Linked DNA regions of Caenorhabditis elegans. The protein of the gene in region 1 interacts with the protein of each later gene in a pairwise test. Each region holds a gene or a part of one and is shown in the gene's direction. Other genes may lie near its edges. The genes, in order: vab-9, exp-2, C15H9.4 and vpr-1.

Evidence for each region.
Region 2: the proteins of vab-9 (region 1) and exp-2 interact in a two-hybrid assay, tested with the Caenorhabditis elegans proteins (one large-scale study listed by BioGRID).
Region 3: the proteins of vab-9 (region 1) and C15H9.4 interact in a two-hybrid assay, tested with the Caenorhabditis elegans proteins (one large-scale study listed by BioGRID).
Region 4: the proteins of vab-9 (region 1) and vpr-1 interact in a two-hybrid assay, tested with the Caenorhabditis elegans proteins (one large-scale study listed by BioGRID).

Annotation. Positions count from the first base shown.
Region 1 is NC_003280.10:8,635,143-8,639,822, reverse strand, and holds vab-9 (Transmembrane protein 47), read left to right. Parts: upstream 1-2,111; 5' UTR 2,112-2,150; coding exon 2,151-2,207; intron 2,208-2,388; coding exon 2,389-2,584; intron 2,585-2,663; coding exon 2,664-2,813; intron 2,814-3,102; coding exon 3,103-3,335; 3' UTR 3,336-3,590; downstream 3,591-4,680.
Region 2 is NC_003283.11:6,138,812-6,144,329, forward strand, and holds exp-2 (BTB domain-containing protein), read left to right. Parts: upstream 1-2,198; coding exon 2,199-2,245; intron 2,246-2,299; exon of another isoform or gene 2,300-2,515; intron 2,516-2,659; coding exon 2,660-2,683; intron 2,684-2,897; coding exon 2,898-3,177; intron 3,178-3,237; coding exon 3,238-3,351; intron 3,352-3,401; coding exon 3,402-3,521; intron 3,522-3,566; coding exon 3,567-3,740; intron 3,741-3,788; coding exon 3,789-4,380; intron 4,381-4,427; coding exon 4,428-4,609; downstream 4,610-5,518. Other genes in the region: ttn-1 (Titin homolog), read right to left, coding at 5,211-5,369.
Region 3 is NC_003284.9:6,095,646-6,101,201, forward strand, and holds the start of C15H9.4 (Transmembrane and coiled-coil domains protein 2), read left to right. Parts: upstream 1-1,997; 5' UTR 1,998-2,067; intron 2,068-5,383; exon of another isoform or gene 5,384-5,520; intron 5,521-5,556. Other genes in the region: C15H9.5 (GOST seven transmembrane domain-containing protein), read left to right, coding at 199-340, 820-1,031, 1,096-1,203, 1,260-1,293.
Region 4 is NC_003279.8:5,867,431-5,872,576, reverse strand, and holds vpr-1 (Major sperm protein), read left to right. Parts: upstream 1-2,622; 5' UTR 2,623-2,629; coding exon 2,630-2,804; intron 2,805-2,962; coding exon 2,963-3,248; intron 3,249-3,339; coding exon 3,340-3,487; intron 3,488-3,573; coding exon 3,574-3,702; 3' UTR 3,703-4,311; downstream 4,312-5,146. Other genes in the region: cdc-7 (non-specific serine/threonine protein kinase), read right to left, coding at 1-96, 284-392; F33D11.10 (RNA helicase), read left to right, coding at 4,448-4,783, 4,832-5,146.

The DNA of each region.
Region 1 (4,680 bases):
TTTGGGATTGTACGATGGTATTTGTCGTGTTTTGGGTGGAAATATCAGTAATTGAGACAGAGCCACTCTGCAGATAACTTTCAGAAACTTTATTAATTCAAATGCAAAAACCTCAAACTGCTCATTTGAAAAGCCATTTATCATCCAATTGGCACCCAATACTCCATCTTCTGACCCAGATTATCACATCACATCACACATTTAGTATATCGCCAAGATCTATCTTTTTCCACTGCTTTTTCACTTTGTTCCTCTAAAAATATCTCTTCATTTTACACTGAATTCTCATCGGGCTCCCACCATTCACTCCTCCCACGAACACTTTTTCGCACTCATCACGTACCAATATCTCTTGATTTTTCAAATGTTTAAAATCCTGTTCAAAAACTCTTGCATTTGCAAAACATTTCAAATCATTTGCCATTTTGTTTTTTCGGTAACATCTGAGAAAGGGTGCTTGTCGGCTCTTTTTTGTTTGATGGTTGTTCGAGGCTCAAAATTTGAAGAGCACACAAAGGCATGCACAAATACACAAATACTAACGGCATTTGCATGCTTGGTGAACGACTAGGAGGCTGTTTTTTTTTGAAGTGAAAGCGTGCTTCTTTCATTTTCAAACCATTGGCCCCGTTTCAGCTTTCTTATTGATTTTTTAAAGTGATCATCGGCAGCCTTATAAATTTTATCATCAATCATAAAAAGTAATTTTAAAAATGAAGCCTCTCTCACTCGTATCCATTGGTTCTCCAACCTGTTAAACTTTCATCTTAACTGCGTGCCACTTCTCATGTTTAGTGTGTCCAGCTGTTTTTCATTCGGTTGCCTCTCTTCCCCATTTCATTTGTAACAAAACATATTTTGTAACTCAACACTCGATGCATTCTCCTCGTTCACATTATTTTTGAGTGTTCCAATAACACAACTTGAACATCAAAAATCCAGAATTTTAAGCTCAAATCTTTTTCTGTAAAAGACTCTTTAGAAATATGTAAACTTCAATTTGTTGAAAAGTTCGTTTCAAAATGTTTGAAGTTCAAGCTCTTCTATCTTCTTTCCCAGTTTCTAATTTTCTTTTGTTGACTTCTGCTCTTTCTTGTCCTTCTTCTCATAAACCCAGCTGTTCCGGTCCTACTTCTCCTCCTTTTCACATTTTCGCAACTTGTAATAATAACTCACAACTCATCCTCCGTCTCCACAGCTTCCCCCGATCTCTACCACGAAACTATTTTTTTTTACAACTGGATGACAGTTAGGTGTGATTTGAGTCAGTGTTCTGAACATTTTTCAAATCAACCTTTTGGTTAAAAAGTTTATTTTAATAGAGCACAACTTTTCAATGCTCATTTTCTAGTCGTGCCAAATTCTTCCAACCGATCCATCCTTGTTTTCATTCATTCTGCAAAAACAGACTCTCGATTTCCAACTATACAAAATTCAGGAGAAGCACCACACAAACTGGTGTGTGCGCGTGTATTGGAATGCGCACTGAAATTCAATACACCTTCCATCTCTTTCTTATTTCCTCTCTCCTTCTTTGCATCTTCCAACTATTTTCAAGAGTGTGCTCTCTTGGTGCTCACCGTGTTCTTATTTTTCCGGTTCTAGGATTCCTAAAGTTTTTGGTATTTTTATCGATCAATTTTTAAATAATAAAAAAAAACACGCACACTCACAAAAAAGTTGAATATTTTCTCACTCTTCTAGAATATTCAGAATGTTTATAGGCAAAAAAAAAGAAAAAAAAAATAAACTCTCATTTCTTCGCACTCTCATTTATTCAATTTAGATAGCATCGACTACTTGGTTTTTTTTCTTTTTCTCTTTTTTCTAACATTCACATTTGCTTTGGTGTGACAGTTATAATATTGTGCGTTTATAAATAAATATTTGTCGGGTCGTCAAACGAAAAAAAAGAAGTGTTTCGTGGTGAAAACTAGTTAGCCGATTATACCAGAGCTTCTCTCTTTTTCTCTATCTCTCTAACTCTCTCACTTGAGACTCTTATTTTTCTCCTCTCTTTCTTGCTCTCTTTACAACTTGTAGTACTCAACAAAACTTTTAAAATAGTTACACTATATAGTTTTTTGCCGAAATTATAATGTTGTGATTTCAGAATTCCCGACATCGAGAGATCCTCTTCAAGGGACAAAATGGTAGCAGTCCAACGAACTACCATTGAGGCCGTTTCAGCAGTTAGGCCTCTTAAAGTAAGTCGTTTGAAACATTTATATAACCCTATACTAAGTAAACATATTTTCATTATATAAAACTTACTATTATAATTATGATAATTTTATGATGATTTTTTCAAAGATTAGAAACTAAAAAAAGAGGAGTTACAAGAACTTTTAAATTTTTAATAATTTATCTCCATGGACCATTTTCCAGATAATCTCCTTAATATGCCTAGTCATTGCTGTGGGTCTCATGATTGTTGCTCTTTGCTCAACTTCTTGGCTCAAGACAGGATCATTCAGAACGGGTCTCTTCAAAGAATGCACATCAACAAATGAGCCAACTCATGCTGCTCCATTCCCTGGTGCACCTGCTCCTGGTTCATGTCACAAGCCATCGAGGAATTCTGGTGAGTCAGAAAGCTTTTGAAACTCTTCAATTAGATTCTAACAGTACCAGAAAAAGTTTCAATTTCCATTATTTTTCAGGATTCCTTACCGCAGCAGCTGTTCTTCTCATTGTTGCTCTATTCCTCACTGCACTTTCTACCATTTTCAATATTGTTGGACTCAGCAAATCAGATGTCCGTGGAAAATATCGATGGTACCGAATTGCGACAATGATTTCTGGATTTTCTGGTGAGTTTTTCAGAGTTTTTTTTTTTTTTTTTTTGCAAATTAATCAAATTGGTATAATTTCAAAGCGACATAATGAAATTTTAATGACCGTCACTGAATTTTTAAAAATTCAATTTGTCTGTAATATAATAATTATTTCAATTAAAATCCGAACTAGGCAGATATTGTATTTTTCAAAATGTTTATTCAAACTTTGAAATTTTGAATAAAATTAGGCCTAAATGCTAATCAGTGCAAACAAAAAAAAAATAAAGAAATCACAAAAAACTTAATTTACGAATAATTTCAGTTCTACTGGAATTGACCGCTTTGATTATGTTCCCAGCTGCATTCTACGTAAAAATAAGTGACTACGGTAGCCGCAGGAACTGGGAAGTTGATTGGTCATATGGTATTGCATGGGGAGCAACACTTTTTACAATTGGTGCAACGATTATGCTGATTTGTGATAAGGAACACGAAGAAGTTTATTATAAAGAAAAAACTATCTACAATCCACCACCAGAGCTCTCCGACCGATAGTCTAATTTTTTGAACTTTAAAATTTTTTTTTTTTGAAAATTTTTAAACGACTTTCCATTTGAAAAAAGTCACCTCAACTCCTCGAAACGTGTATTTCTCAATCCGATCCGAATAATATTAATTTTTTCTGTACATAATTTTATTTTTTCTCCCATCAACCTTGTTACGATGCCGTGCATTTTCTATCGGTGATCTTTTCTTCCCTTGTTTTTTATGAAGAATTTTAATTTCAAGAATAAAACTTCTATAATATCCAACCCGGTTTATGTAAAGCTCCGGCTCGTTTATGAGCGGGACAAGATACCCCGAGACCCTGACGCGCAGTATGCGCAAAGAAACGAATAATATATATAAAATTCTCGGCTCTGAGCAGAACTTTCTCCCAAAGCTTTATATCAAACAATGAGCTGTTCAGATAATTTTCTGTCAGTAACATGAAAACCTATTTGAGCAGTTTCCAATAAGTTTCCAAGATGTTGCCAGAGAGTAACCCTTAAATGCCAAGCTATAAACATTAAATTGACTGCTGCAATTTATGAAAAATCTTCGAACGCAATTTCAATTTTAGCAGCTACCCTTTTCAAAGAAAAAATGTTGTCTTTTTTTGAAATAAAATAAAGTTTGCTCACTTGATAACTCACTAAAATATACTCTCGAAACTTAAGAAATTTCTCGTGATCGGGAAACATTTTCATTTTAAATTCGCAACAAAAAAATGTGCCTCTCTTGAACCTGTTAACTAACAAAAAGGTTTAAAGTTTGACTGGAATTTCTAATTAATTTTTTCCATCCAATATTACACCTCTTAATCTTCTATTTTCCTGCCTCCTATTTCCTCACATAGTTCTGAAAAAAGTGACGACAACGATGATGATCCGAAAATTCTTGTTTAAAAGTATAATGAGATGCCATTCTTCTTACTTTCCGTCGTTGTTGATTCAAAAGTTTCAAAAGCATCGCAGCTTCTTCTTCTAAATCCGTGCCTAATCTGTTCCACCAGTGACGGAAATCTATTCTGAACTGACCACGGAAATCATGTAACAAGTTATTGCGTCACATAGATAGATGATTATGTGAAGAAAAGTTACGGCAAAAAATGGATTAGGTTGGGAAAGAGAAAAGAGATTAGAGTGAGTAGGCAAAAACGGGAAAGTGGTAGAAAATGGAGAACAGGTAGGTTACTGTAGAAATGGAAAACAGATTAAGAAGAAAAAAAAAATTAAGAGTTGGATTTGTAATGCTAAAGATATACTTGACTTGAAATATATGTTTAGTGAATTCTTTTTGATGTACAACTGATTTGATTCTGAACTTTGAACTTATTTTAACAGATTTCTATTTGGAA
Region 2 (5,518 bases), on another chromosome or scaffold:
TTCTGATATCTAACAATTAGAAGACGCAAACTACATACATCATTTTTATTTGCATTTTATGGGCATTAAAGTTGCATTTTCTTTTAAAAACATTAAAGGAAATAGTTCTAAACCACTTAAAAATTGACATAGGTAACTTTCACCCTTAATCTAAAATTAACTACAACATTATTTGCTCATTGGCTATCTGTATCTTGCACACATATCTTGCAACGTTTTCTTCCCGATTTCTATTCTGACCCAGTCTACTTTTTGGAGAAAATGTGATGTGGATTACGAGTTAAGAGCTTGTTAGCAACAATTGGTAGCCGTTCATCCATATGAAATCCTCATTCTTTTCCGTTTTTCTGCGAGGGGCGACCCCCCATTCCAAATGCCTTCAGCTGCACTATGTTCTGTTTCTTCTAGTTTCTTATATCCTAATAACCCTTGGTGAACCATTCAGTTAATCTGAGCTAAACTTTTTTTTTAACATGCTGATCCACTGAATGGATTCAATTTTCTCTGTGTAAGTTTTGTTTCGTTATAAAGTTTCATAAAGAATTAGTTACTTGCAAGCAAAAAAGACCGAATGAGCTCCTCATTTGTTGTATGCTCAAATGATTATGTTGGCAGAGTTCATCTCAAGCTTCTCCTCCCGTGTTGTGTTTTTTTCTCGTTTTCTATCCTCGACCGTCTCAACGAGGGAACAAAGATCACGGGAACTTTTTCAATTCGAGAATTGAATAGGTTTTTGCATTTTTAGACTAAATTCTTGTGGCTCTGGGCAAGTAAACGAAACAATTCTCAAGTGGTACTCACAGTGGTCAAATGATTCCTCCAGAACCCGTGGAGCCAGATATATTTTGACATTTTGCTCGAATTTCCACCCTCACACTCTTTTTTTTTTGTCGTTAGTTCTCTTTTTCGATCTTTGCTAGTGAGAAATATTTAGAAGCGGTCTAGTGGAAGAAAATTTATAATCGAGTAGGCTTGAGGTTACACAGGGATGGAGACTCGGAGAAGAGGTGCTAAACGGGTCCATATGCAAAAAGCAAAACAAAAAACCAACTGCCAGAGAAGAATTCGACTTTTAGATTATTGTTCTGGCGTTCGGTTGTGAGAATGAAAATGGCTCAGGCCAGGTAGGTCATACTCAATATTATTTTTTGGTAGCAAATAATTTTCTGAAAAAATTGAATACGAAGATTTAGTGTAGGTCAGACCATATCAAATTAGAGAGCCAATTCTATACTCTTTTTTATCACTCTTACATTCTTTTCCGCACATTGTCTCTGGCAAACAATACCTATCATTTTCACAATGTAAACCTACAAGTGTACCTTACCGACAGATCATCCTCTTCGGCCCCCTATCACTGTGTTTACTTTCGCTCCTAAAATCCTACGTGAGCAACAAAATTTGTCATACATGAATCTCAATTTTACTCGATTTTTATAGTGTTCCATCGATGTGGAGAATAAGAGAATATGAGAATTTTTCACCGCAATTGAAAACATATGTTTTTTGGTTTTTCAATTGATTGGATGAAAGAAGGCAGATATCTTTCGAAGCTCCACTTTGTTTCTTGATTCAATTGCTAGCGTGTTGAATGTTCATCCCGATTCATTTTATATTCTAGAAATTCCAGTCTAGAGAGTCATGAGAGTCATCACCGTAAATCAATCATGTTGCTTTTCCTCCCTTCCAGTAAGTAGATAAAATAGATGCCGAAAAACGGGGCACCCGAGACCAAAACCACAAATTTGGTTGCTTTTCGTCTTCGTCGTCTTTGCCGCCGTCTTCATCGACAACTCGCTCATATTTGGTTGCTAATACTACACATATATATGTAGCAGTGAATTGAAGAGAAACAGACGAATTCCGTCGTATCTATCTCATTCTCTCACTACCTCACCTGCATATCTTTTCCCTCTATAAGCACCGTGCTCCCTCCGGTAAGCTTTGAGCGCCCAGCGCGGTTTCCCACGCGACGAAGAAAAAGAGAAGCAAGGCGTCAATTCGGCCACCTGCTGTCAATCCTCTCTCATTCTCACTCTCTGTGCCGATCCTTCATATCTTCACACCTGCCCTCAGTGGAGCCCCATCCCAGCTGCCAGTGCTCATAAAAAAGAAAAACTAGAAGGACCTTTTCTTATCACCTGTTATTTATCAACTGGTGTTCCTGGGGTCGGACGTCTGAAGTATTAGATACCACAATGGCATGTGCAAGTATTTCTTACTCGGCGCTGGCATATAATGGACAGTAAGTTTTTCTATCAAAGCATACCGGAAGCTTCTAACATCATCATAGATTCACGTCACGCATCCTCATCACATCTTCTCAATCTATCTATTAGTTCTGTTTTCTCTTCTTCCTTTTCTTATCTTAGTGGAAAAAAAAAATAGCTTCACTTTAAATGTGTCAGTCCAATTCTCATCATCCTTGACACCTCTCATCTTGTCACGCACACACACGTGTGATGACACCTCTCTTCTACTTCTCCTAAACCTACTCTGAACACTGCTGAAAACTACTGAAAAAAAAACACTTCACGCGCTAAAACTGAAGTTGCAAAATGGCGATTGCAATATCGCAAGCGGTTCTAGCGCATCGAAATTCTGCAGCAACATTTACGGTCCCTGGCTCGACGGAGCAACTCAAATTCCATAATTACAGGGTAACCGGAAACATGATCAGCGGGTAAGTTGTGATTTTTAATGCCATGACTATCAATCTAACTAAAGATCGGATTGTATCGATCGTGTTTCTCTTTTCATGCATGATGCTTATGTTGTGATGTTTGATATATTAGCTTTTCCTTCCCTGTCACTAAAACTGAACTCTAGACCAAGATATCAACGGGTGTGATGCACTTTGATCTTTTGTTCTAAAATTCTAATCCTCCAATTTTCAGGGCCGCACAGCAGCACAAAAAGCGGCTAGTCCCGCTGCGTCGGACTGATGCAATGACAGTGGCGGAACGTCGAAACTATCAGATTCTAGACGATATTTTTCGATCTGGAGCATCCGATTGTTTCCAACAAGTCAGTTCAGCGGATAACGGAAGCCCACAGTTTTTGAAGCTAAATATTGGAGGCACAAGCTTTATGATTCTAATCGACGCGATTCTCCGCGCAGACACAACTACTTTTCTCTCGCGGTTTGTCCAACTCACACACACAGCTAGATTAAAAGTGAGCTAAAAACTGGGGGATAATCTCATCATATCATCAATCTATTTCTCTTTTATTTAGGTTGCGGATGCCTATATTTCCGCTGATGATGCTTACTATTTCCAACGATCACCTACTTCCTTTGAAGCTGTGTTTCAATACTATGCAACAGGAGTGGTGCATCGACCATCTGAGGTGAATATTAGGAAGTGAAGTGGAAAATATCTACTTTTTTAAAATTTTAGATTTGTCCAGCTTCGTTTCTAAGTGAGCTCGACTTTTGGAGGATATCCCATCAACATGTTGGATCTTGTTGCGCCGATATTATCCCCCAAAAACGGGAAGAAGAGAAAGAAGAAGAAAAAGTAAATCATCTGTATATCACAAATTAAAGAAAAATTTGTTTTAAGGTAGATGATACCACCTTCGATAAGTTGATGTGCGGAAAGTTACGGAGGAGGATGTGGACTTTTCTCGAACGGCCTGGCTCTTCAATGCAAGCAAAGGCATTTGAGTTGTCATCGACTCTTTTTGTAGCAATTTCAGTTATGGGACTTTCTTTTGGAACTATTCCAGATTTTCAAGTAAGTATTTAACTTTCTAATAATTTGGTTAAGCATTCAAATATTCAGGTTACTCATCTTATGCCTCCTCATAATGAAACAGTAGTGTTACCGAATGGAACTGTAACGGTTGTTCAAAAAGTTGAGCAAATGAGAGTGGAACATCCGGCGTTTGTGTTCACGGAACGGATATGCATTGCATTTTTCACTGTCGAATATTGCCTCCGGTTTTTCGCCGCACCACGGAAATTAAGATTTGCGCTGAAACCGCTGAACCTTGTCGATTTACTTGCTATTGTTCCATTCTACTTGGAATTGCTTCTGACATTATGCGGAGTTGATGACAGGAAATTAAGAGATCTACGATGGGCTTTCCTTGTTGTTCGGATTCTTCGAGTTCTTCGAGTTATCAGAATTATCAAATTGGGAAGGTTCTCATCGGGACTCCAAACATTCGGAATGACACTTCAAAGATCACAAAAACAACTACAAATGATGACAATTGTACTTCTGACTGGAGTTGTATTCTTTTCAACCATGATTTATTTCTTGGAAAAAGACGAGGAAGGAACACCGTTCACAAGTATTCCGGCGGCATATTGGTGGTGTATAGTAACAATGACAACTGTAGGATATGGAGATGCTGTTCCCGCAACTACTAGTGAGTTCTTTCCCCTATTTGTGGGTTCTAATTGAATTTAATTTCAGTGGGGAAAATCATTGCATCAGCAGCAATTATGTGCGGAGTACTTGTACTTGCTCTGCCCATTACTATCATTGTCGACAACTTCATCAAAGTGGCTCAAGATGAACAACAAGCGGAGCAACAGAAAAATGACCAGCAAAGCGAGCAACTCGCGTTGGAAGCCATGCTCAATGCCCATGACTAGTATACAAATTATTTCAATGATTAATGTTACGAGTAAATGTTTCCCCCGAAGTTCTATATGTTTTATCAAACTTAAGTGAGTATATTGGTTTTGTTATTTTATTTTCATAAATTTATATTTTTTCTAAATTTTCTATTATGGTTACTATCATTATTTCCGAATCTAAAAATATTATTGAAAAAGAAAACCAATCCAATTTCAACGGGAAACTCCTCCAGTGCACTTTCTCCTACTTTATCTCTCCCCCACTCTCTCACTCTCTTCAACTTTTTTCAAAAAGTCTTGACGGCATCTGACTATAAAGTAAAAAAGAAGAAGATTCCAATTTCTCTTGGCATATTTTTTGATTCAAAGCCGCTTTACACACTCCATCCATTTCCCCATTTCCCCATGTGAAAACACAGAGAAGAACACGCTAGAAAAAAAACTCGAAAAAGACATTAGGCCATTTCCTCTCCCAAGACCCACCTGGATTTTTGTTGTTAGCTAACATATCACTCTCGTCCGAAGGAATGATTTTAATAAAAATATTATTAAAAGTTTGATATTATCACTTTGTTCGATTCGTAACCCGACTTTCCCAAAAAATTCTTTAACTAACCTGAGAATGAGAGCCTCAGTTTCACAGTCTCTCCTTTGTCGAAAACGAGTGTAGAAGCATATCGATCTACCCGATTGATCTCCGGAAGTTGATCCATAGTGAGCTTGCATGAGTGCTCCACTGAACCAGCAGTGTTCTTGACCACAATCTTGTATTCGCCTGAAAACGTTCATAAGTGAAAAGAGATTGAGAAAACGAGAGAAAAGCAATATTCAAATTTTGGAGTGACAGAAGCATTCTGGCATTGAAGGGTCAGGTTTCCGGTTACTTTATTTCAACCCTCTTTTGAACATTTGTATGACACAAGA
Region 3 (5,556 bases), on another chromosome or scaffold:
GATCATTTTGACTAGAAATTGAAATTAAAATTCAACAGGTTTTTTGAAATATTAACAACATAGAACAAACTGACTAATCAGAAAAATTGTACTAGGTTTCGTAAAAAAGATTATCCTATACGTATAACCCAATTTTGATAGAAAAATAACACTGATACTGGAAATACTGAAATTTAATTATTTTTTTATAAATTTTAGGTCAATTCAACACTTGGTAGAGGGAGCCACTACAGATGGAAAAGCCGCAGCCAATTTGGAAAAACTACGTTTATTTCGACAATTTTATATTCTCGTTGTCGTCTACATCTACTGCACGAGGTTTTTTGGCTTCATATTACTCGTGAGTTTTAGAATTATAACAATTAAACATGTACAAAAAAAATTCTTAGCTTCAAGCCAGCGCCAGTGGGAAAAGTGTTGAAACCCCACTTTTGTGGTGCCAAAATTCCAAATATCACAGTACAACTTTATACAATTTTTTTAAATTTTTGATATTTCGTTTCAAAAACTGGTAATTACTCAGGTTTTACTACTTCATTGAAGTGGTCGGTCAAAAAAAAAAACTACCTTTGGATTTTATAGTCTACGTATGTTTCAAACATCGGTTTTTAAACAATGTAAGTATAGATTGGGACAGTGCCAAAAAAAATGGCAAAATCTCAGTAAATGTCACTTTTTGACTATGAATTCAACATTTGTAAAAGATTTACTATGATATTCGGTCTTTTTGGTAACCTAGGAGCGTGTTCTAACAATATCGTCACCGGCTCCTACTCTAATTTTAATCATACATATGTGTGCATAATTATTCCCGTTCAGCACTTAATGCCTGTGAACCTCCAATGGACCATTGTCGCTGCAGTCGAAATGGTTACCTTCGCATTTTTCATCATCGTTGGCTACAAATTCCGGCCTGCCAATTCACACAATTATCTGCTCTTGAACTCGGATTTTGATAGCTATGATGTGGAGACATCGCCGAAAGAAGATAGGAAAGATAAAGAAAACAATGAGCAAGAAATTGATGAGCAGTGAGTCATTCGTTTTATCATCTTTGTGAAAAAATCAAAACCTTGAGTTGAGAAAATCTTGCAGATTCCTGACAAAAGCCTACTCAGATGCCAATGTGTCGAGGAGATTGGTTTCAGATGAATCATCAAACAACCAAACCGACTATCCCCATCAGAAACTTTTGAAGAAACCGTGAGTGGCTTTCAGTATTAATACATAACATTCAATAATAATCTGTATTTGTTCAGTTCTCAAACCTACGAACAATCATTGCTAGATTAATTATAATCCGTTACAACAACAACAAAAACAACAACGAGTTCAGTGCAAACGGAGGGAGGCTTATCAACTCAACCAACCAACTGTTTCGATTATAATACTATTATGGACAGGATGATCATCCAGACTTCTATCGCGTTCTACTCACTATTTTCAAACATTTTGCTTTTCAAATAACATTTCTACCGGTCCTTTCTAGATGCATGATAATGTGTATATAACTATTTTAAGATAATGATGAAAATTGAAACTGATTTTGAAATATGATAAAAACAATTTCAAATTCCATTGCAATATCAATCATTCCTTAGAAAATATTATCATCATTATCTAAAAACTTCAAGATGTATGAACTAAATTTTTTCAAACATATAGGTGAAAGTACACTGGCCAAAGTGTATAAATTCTAGTCTCCGCCTCCTTTTCCCCATCTCTAATCTTTTTTAGTTGTAACATTTAGTCCAATAAATTTCCAGTCGTGTGATGTGATAACTCGAGACTCCCTGTAAAAAAATATTGTTAATTATTTTTCATTCTATTGTGTACTATTTTCTGAACCTTCTGTGTCTTTGTGTGCTCTATGGTCATCTAGTGAATTCAATATCTTATAATTCATTAATGAAAAGAAGATTTTTTTCCTTACTTAAAATCCTTTGTAACATTGATATAACCTCATATTACAACATCTATACAATATTTCATGCAATTCAGAACGACAAACCAACTCTAATGAGGGATCGCCGCATTGGACAGCTGTCCGAGTTAAAAGGACTAGTGGTAAGAGAGGGGTGAACAAGCATGGCGAAAGGGGGTACGCATTATTGCGTGCGCGTGTTTGCGTACTGCGCGTATTAGCCATTGTCTGCCGACCACCCGGAATCCGGCCATTTTCTGTGCACCGCAATAGCCAATACCGCTCGATTATTAGTTTTACGAGCCAATTTGCTCTTTTTATAATCCATCTTAGCTGTTATCGATTTTTTTTCGAGTTTGTATGGTTTTATATGCATTTTTGTTTTGTTATTAATGCTATTATTATTGGGTTAATTGCGCAAAATAGTTTTCCAAAAGTTTTTATGTTGAAATAATAATTTCCTTCTTTATACTCCTTTTCTAATTATCATCATGGTTTTTTCTCTTTTATCTGTCGTTTCCCTCAAATTGCAAGAAAAGTGTTTTCTTTTTAATTTAATCACAAAATGATTATTTTTAAATTATTAAAAACAATATGATTTATGGTTCAATTTCAACATTCACTTGATGTATATCAATTTATATTGATTTTTCGCGTGAAAATATCTCAAAAGAGCTAATTGAAGCGCGGAAACTTGTTTACTGTGTTCTTTTTCTCTGTCTGATTCACCAGACATCACAATGCTCAGTTAGAAGGCAAAAACATTTTTTCCTCTCCTATATGCCTCTCATTGTTTTGGCCGTTTTTGGCCGTGTGGATTACTGTTTTACAAACTGTAGAATAGAATTTTCACACTTTTTTATTTTTCTTGATGTAAAAACTTTGATTTTGAACTGCAATCCGATAGGGGGAGATCTTCATTGAAAAAACGTTTTACCGCACTAGAATGTTCTCATAATTAATCAAACATTAACCAGTTTTAATCAACTCAAAAAAGTGGAACTTTACCCTTTGATAACAACTCCATTTCCGACTATGATGGTCAACGGTGCAATGATAAGAGAAACGTCTCCCCCTGTATATTGACATTTATGTGCTTTTTCAATTTTCCATTGACTACATATAAGACAGTAAGGTGGACAATAGGAAATAGTTTTGCTCTATTTTATGTTTTTGTTCACCACTTCCGTACCTGCAAAAAAGAATTCAGAGCTTGAAACCTTGCCACCTATTACGACCACAGTTTGCGTACAAATGAGTGTGTGTGTCCGTTCGCGTCCGGCCAATCCTCTCTTCGTCGCCTAGCCGTTTTTTCGCGCGCCTCGATCTTGATTTTCCGCGTTCCTGCAGTTTTCTGTGTTTTTCCGAAACTAGGCAAAATCAAAACGCGGCGCTCGATTTCTTTTCCATTTCCTGTTGACTAAGAAAAGAGTGTTTTAGTCAATCTTCCAAAGTGGTTTGATTGACATCGACGCCCCTATTTCACCACCAAAGCGTCTTCTTGCCCCCCGCTTCTTTCTTCCCTCATCTTTCAACCCTTGCCCCATAGATGGATGGCTTTTACATACTTTTGGAATACTTGCACTTCTCCCGCTGCTTGCTCTGTGTAGTTCAAAGTTGTCGAGAAGAACAAAAACTGCAAAAGGCATTTTCTTTTTTTTTTGCTTTTTCGCTTCATAGATCGTCGTCATGAATTATGTTTGGCGCGTTTGAGTGAGGTGTGAGTGCAAAGACCTTGAAAAACATTTCAATCGTTTTTTTCACAGATGAGCAGGTTGCCTATATATCTCCCCTCTCGTCAACTCGCTTTTTGTCACCATTGTTCTTTTGACCATTTTTACCACCTCTAACCTTTCGGGTTGATGTGTATCTCAATACTTTTTACGGTTGCGCCGCATTAGACCCCCGCGTTCGGGAGGAGGCTACCCCACAAGTGTTGACATACTCTTCAACGTTTCTACGTTTAGTTGTGCCCTCAATTTGTTATTTTGATTTCTTTTGGGCAAACATAACTATATTCCTTTTATTTGCCAATTTAATGTTTCAAAAAGTCGATTAATTACGTTCACAGCTCCCTTTACGAAATAGTGATGTGAATTGAAAATTTACTGGAGAATGAACTACTGGGTTTTAAACTTTGTCGTAATAAGTGCAAATAATTAACCGGATTTTTTTCTCAAAATTTGAATACCCGCGCAAATTCTTGCTGAACAAATTTTGTATGTTTTTTTTCCAAAAAACATTTTTTGTAGCAAATGAATTTAATATATTTTTTATAAAATAACCAAATATCATAATAAAACTTTAAAAAAATTTTGAAAATGTTTTTTATTTTGAGTAAAAAAGCTGTGAAAACTCAGTATTTATATATTTTTTCTATTTTTATTTTTTCAAAAATATTTTTTCATCCAGTTTTGTGCTTTGATTATATTCAAAATACTTATATTCAATAATTTCCGCATTGTAGAGATTATAACTTTTTACCGCTTCTGACTCGAAATAAGATTTTGTCCAAAGTTTTTTGATAAGTTCTATTATCATATTTGGTCATCATATATTATAAATCATGTAACTATATAAATATTTTAGGTCATAGCAAAAATGAATAGGAATTTCAAAAAAAAAATAAAAGCAAGTCCTTATTTGTTTTGCATACTTTTTCTAAATTTCTTTCAAGTTTTAGTTTTAATGTTAAAAAGTATAACAAACCGTCTAAAACTAATAATAGAGCGTCTTTACAGTCCAAACAAAATACGTGAAATTGATTTCCCGCCTCTTCAGACTTTTTCAAGCTGAAATATTTCGATCTCAACATTTTTGTTTAAATTTTGTAATAGCACAAAGTTCCAGAGTGCATTCTACATGTTTAACCATTTTTCCCCATTTCCACATTTTTCAATCGATGAAAAATTAATATAATGGCGTCGGATGAGACATACATTCTTTTATTTTCAAAATGTTCAGAAAAAAAGTTCCACTCACACCTCGTGATACAGTGACTCAGCCACTTTGAAATGACCAATTGTTAGAAAACTATTTAGTTGGTGGTTATAATTTACGTTTATATTTTAAATCATTTGACATGTTTCTCATTAAATTCCTTGGTAAATAATTTGTATTCCATCCATCACAATTTTCACAAGGACAAATACATAAATCATATTGTATTGTCGTATTAAGAAAGAAAAAAAAAACCAAATCTTGTTCGATTTTACTGTTTTTATAGTCATTCGAATGATGAATGATGGGTATGTAGGAAAGGTATGTACATAATATTACACAACTATATATTCCAAACTTCATTATACCGATAAGAAATTCAACGAAATTCTCCGACTTTTAGAGAAAAAGTTTGATAAGAGTCGATAGGCCTACATTTTGGCAGAACGAAAATTGTAGCCTGTTCTTTGGGGGTTTGAAGCTTGCGGGGCAACACAGGGGCATCATAGGGCAACACAAGCAACAAGAGAAGACCCTCGCTAGTTTCGCTTTTCTTTTTTCCTTTGTTCGATATCAGATTTCGAATCAGTACGTTCAAATCGGTCTTCGTCTCATCACTTGTCCTTCTCTCGCCCCCGTAAAACACTCGTCTCGACTTTTCCCCCTACACTACTATATTCTGTTATTCCAAA
Region 4 (5,146 bases), on another chromosome or scaffold:
ATAACATGCTCATTTTTTCAATTCTTCGAATTGCTTTTATTGCTCGTTTCTCTTGAGTTGTTCTGCATGTTGCACTGATTACTGTTCCGAAAGAACCTAAAAATAAGCAATGATTAAAGGATCAATATTTCATTATTTCAAAAATACGCAATCTTCTTTCACCTGCTTGAAAATTCTGATTAGAAGTTTGTTTTCTAGCGTTTTTGCTTTAACTTCAATCTATTTCGTAGCTTATAATAATTTCATATTGCACACAGCTGAAAATTTTCAGCTGGAAACGTACCCTCGCCTATAATATTCTCTTGCAATTGATACTTTCTCTGGAATTTTGCATCGCTAAGCACCGGGCAGTTCTCTTCCCAAATTTTCAGCCGTGACGATTTTATGGACATGAAATTTCAGTCTGAAATAAAGGTTTTACTGTTCAAAACGGAATAATGTTGATTTCCTTCTTTAAAAAAAGACACTAAATAGCGAGAAGTGATTCAGAGAAAAAATAAACGTTGAAATTGAGAAATGCAAAAAATGTGTTTCAAATTTTGCGCCAAAAACAGGCGCGGTGTTTGCGTACGTTACGGCGAAGCTTACGCGCATTGCCACATGCAACATATTTTTAAATTTAGCTTTTTCTTTTGATTTTTTTGGTTTTCCGTTTGAAAATGCTGTAATATCTAGCTGAAAAATATTTATTGAGACGTATTTTGCAAAAATATGTTGCTATTCGTGTACAATACATGTCGAAGCTCCTAAAAAGTGAAATAGATTGTTTTTTGGTGAATAATAGGGATTTTTCACAAATTCGGACTTTTCTTCTCTCTGTACCTTTTCGCCTAGTCTATAACCTGGTTATAAAAATAGTTATTCACTGAGTTTTTTTCGAGTTATTTGAGCTATTTTTGCTCAGCCTGAAACTTCAAGTTTTAATTTTCTAGAAAAGTGCAAATTCCCCAATATTACTTCCATGTGTTTGTGTATATTTCTTCTATTAGCACATTAAAAGAACAAAAATCATTGTGTAAATAACCCCGATTGATTGATAGTTGGAGCCAGTTGTCCTTCTCCCCCTCTTATGTTTCCGATGAGTGTGTGATACGGGAAATATCTGTGTTGTCATGGAGAGTTCTCACATCCGGACGGCAGGAAAACAGAGAAACTAAGTCTAAAGCAGTACCAAGCCGAGGTGCTCTAATTGCGTCTGCACTCTCTCTCTTCCATTCAAATTCGCCGTCCTTTGCACTTTGTTTACGCAGAAGAGGACGTCTTTTTCATTCTAAAAGTCTTCTGTTTCTAGCTTCATCAGATATACATACTGCGACTTGTTAATATTCTTCATATGGATCAAATCTTCCGCTGACGCATAAGGCTATTAACTCAACTTTTTCAATTTCCGTCTCAATCTTTTTCATAAATGAGCTCAAATAATGATTTCAATCAGAGTGAAATTTTAAATATCGAACATTTCTAAACTGCAGCTCTTCTCGTTTTTCAAAAAAAGGTTCAATTGTCTGTTGTTTTGACTTGGAGGTTAATTTATAGGCTCCTGGGGAATACAAAAATTAAGATTTTATTGCATAGAACTGCCTTAGCTTAATCTTCTCTGAGTGCATTTTGCACATTCTACCAGCAAACATCTCATCCTAATTTATTCCATCTTCTTCTCTTATCCCATCGTTTTTTCTTCACGATGCTTGTGTTTTTTCGGTGCCTCTTTCGTCTCCAACAACGTGTTTCTCCTTCTCCAGGACAGCCATTTTCGCTCACACTCGTCCTCCCCTACCAAACGCACACACACACATCGCTCACACGTACACTCACACACTCGAATTATAAGTCAACGAGAGGGAAGAGACGTAGATACACTTTTCCTTCTGCGTCTATTATCTCTTACGCATCTCTCAGGACAACATTTTTTGAAAAACGTGTGCGCTCTCCACGTCTCACCCGAATTCATGTCATCTGACAGCGTTTCAGAATAATTTTTCAATATAATTTGTTATTTTCTCGAATTGGTTCAACCTTTGTTCAATACTGTGCAGTTTTGGACTTATTCGTTGTTAAAATATAGGAAATAATATTATTTTTTTGTTGTGTTTTTCATGTATCGGGTCATCCATCAGTTGCATCTCTACTTTTCTCTCCCCGATTATCAATTGACAAACGTTCAATTACTGGCTGAACAACGTTTTTGATGCCTTTCTGTTTAAATTTTGTTTATGACCTGTGTTGAATACACTCGTCCATATTTTTTTCAAATTTCAAATTCAAGATTATTGAAGACTGTATTTAGAAAGATAGACAAGCATTTGTATAACTTCTACACGATTTCGATTTTTTTTTCGTTTTTCGTTTTGCCAAGAGCAAATACGCTTGCCTCTAGGCACTAAGCACTGGCCAAAACTCAAGAGAAACTGATAACGCTAGAACATACACTGCGACTTTTTCATTTTATAGCTTTTTCGAAATTGCAAATCGAAAAAATATTCGTTTAGTGTTCGGTTTTGTGATGTACGTAAATACCAATAGAAAAAAAACAATTTTTAATTCTTTCGCCTTGATCCAAACTTCCTATCAATCTTTATTTTTTAACATAATTATTTTATATGAACTAACTTTTTTTTTCAGCAAAAAAATGTCTGAAAAGCACAGTCTTCTGCAAGTGACTCCAAATCGTGAACTCGTGTTCACTGGCCCATTCAGTGATGTTGTCACATCACACATGACTCTCAAGAACACATCAACCAATCCAGTGTGCTTCAAAGTGAAAACAACGGCTCCAAAGCAATATTGTGTTCGTCCAAATTCTGGTGAGTGATGGATTTATTTGCATTGAAATCAATTTGATATGGAAAAAGTGAAATTAAACGCAAAAAGAAAAATATGATTTGTATTTAGACCTTATCTGTTAGACTGGTTGATTTTTAAAACTGAAGTTTACTTTGACCTTCTGATTTTGATTTTTTAGGCCTCCTGAAATCTGGTGACTCGAAACAAATCACAGTAATGCTTCAACCTCTGGAAGGAATTCCATCTGATGCAGGACGACATAAGTTTATGGTTCAATCGTGTGTGGCGCCTTCGGAAGATCTGCCAGATTTGGAATCGGTCTGGAAAATAATCGATCCAGCGGAGCTGACCTACAGCAAGCTTATGGTCACCTTCGTTGACAAGAGAGATCCAGCGTCTGGAGATGATACAAAAACCTTTGCGGTTAGGAACGAGGATAGTTTTGCTTCTTCTGGACAGGCACAGTGAGTTTTTACTTATAATGGAGGTTAAAAGAAGGTTAACAATTATTGTTTCCTTCATAAACTTCATTCAATAAAAAACTAATATTTGCAGAGAGCTCGGAAGTTCGTACTCTGGAACACCATCGCATGATGGAACCGTTAACTCCCTTCGCAAATCGTTGAAATCGACAGTTGACGAGAAAGAAGAATTGCAAAAGAAAGTACATGGATTGGAACAAGAAATCGAAGTCATGCTCAAGGTAATATCAGAAAAGAAATTTGAAAAAATTAATTACACTTTGGAAAAAAAAATATGTGTTCAATTTTCTACAAAAAATATTTTCAGAAGAACCGCAAGCTTCAACAATCGCATTCTGATGGAGCTCTTGTCGACGGTGCATACCCAACATTGCAAATTTTCCTTATTGCGGTTGCCGCTTTGCTCATCGGGCTTATTGTTGGCCGTCTTTTCTAAATTCTGAATCAATTCTTCCTTCATTTTCACTTTTAAGTAACTAGTGGTACTATCATTCACGTGCTTTTTTGCTGCCACAAACATTAAAACACACAAGCATTGCTCCATTCGGATTTTCATCAAATTTAACCTTCAAATCCTAAATTTTCTAACTTTTTCTCTGCCAAGGGCGAAATTCTGAATATTTCAAAAATCAAAATGTTATTTTCTGCAATGTAAATTGACATATTTAACTTTTCGGTTTTTTGAAATTTTGAATACTTGCCTCTTTAGTGAACGCAGCGCGCAAAAATTTCAAACTTTTTCTCAAACTACTTTCACTTCTTTCCTTTGTTTATTCGTTTTCCGTTTTTCCCGGCGTCTTCTAGACCATCATAGATCCGTCTAGTGACTGCCTATCATCATACCCGGTAGCCATTATCAAGAATTTTATTTATTTATTTTCCATTCTATGGTTCCCCGTTCCCCCAACCTTTTCTCATTTATTTTATGTGTACAACCATTGATTGATATAGGACTCCATGGATTTTAAGAAAGCCCCATGCTCTTTGAAACAACCAATTTAAGTCACATGATTTGTATATGGTACAATAAAATTTGATGTTTATGGTTTCCAATAACTATTTTTATTTTTGAATTTTTTCGCCGTATTATCTCGGAGTATTTACCTGGAAATTTACGCGACTCGACAATAAAATGTCACTCGAGTGATGTTTAAAATTAATCTTTTTTCAGATTTTCCAAAATGGCTGGTAAAAAAGCAGAAAAAGATGATATGGCAACAGTGGAATTCGAATCTTCTGAAGAAGTAAATGTTATTCCAACATTTGACAAAATGGGTTTGCGAGAAGACCTTCTTCGTGGAATTTATGCCTATGGATTCGAAAAACCATCGGCTATTCAACAAAGAGCAGTTCCAGCAATTCTTAAAGCACGTGACGTCATTGCTCAAGCTCAATCTGGAACCGGAAAGACTGCGACTTTTTCAATTTCCGTTCTTCAATCATTGGATACACAAGTTCGAGAGACACAAGCACTTATTCTTTCTCCAACCAGAGAATTGGCTGTCCAGATTCAAAAAGTATGGATATAATAAATACAGAGTTGCAATAAAAAACACATTTTGCAGGTAGTTCTTGCTCTCGGAGACTATATGAATGTTCAATGTCATGCCTGTATCGGAGGAACAAATCTCGGAGAAGACATTCGCAAATTGGATTACGGTCAACACGTGGTTTCTGGTACTCCAGGACGAGTATTTGATATGATTCGCCGTCGTAATCTTCGTACCCGAGCGATCAAGCTTCTGGTTCTTGACGAAGCCGATGAAATGCTGAATAAAGGTTTCAAGGAGCAGTTGTACGATATCTACCGATATCTTCCACCTGGAGCACAAGTCGTACTTCTGTCAGCCACACTGCCTCATGAAATTCTAGAGATGACC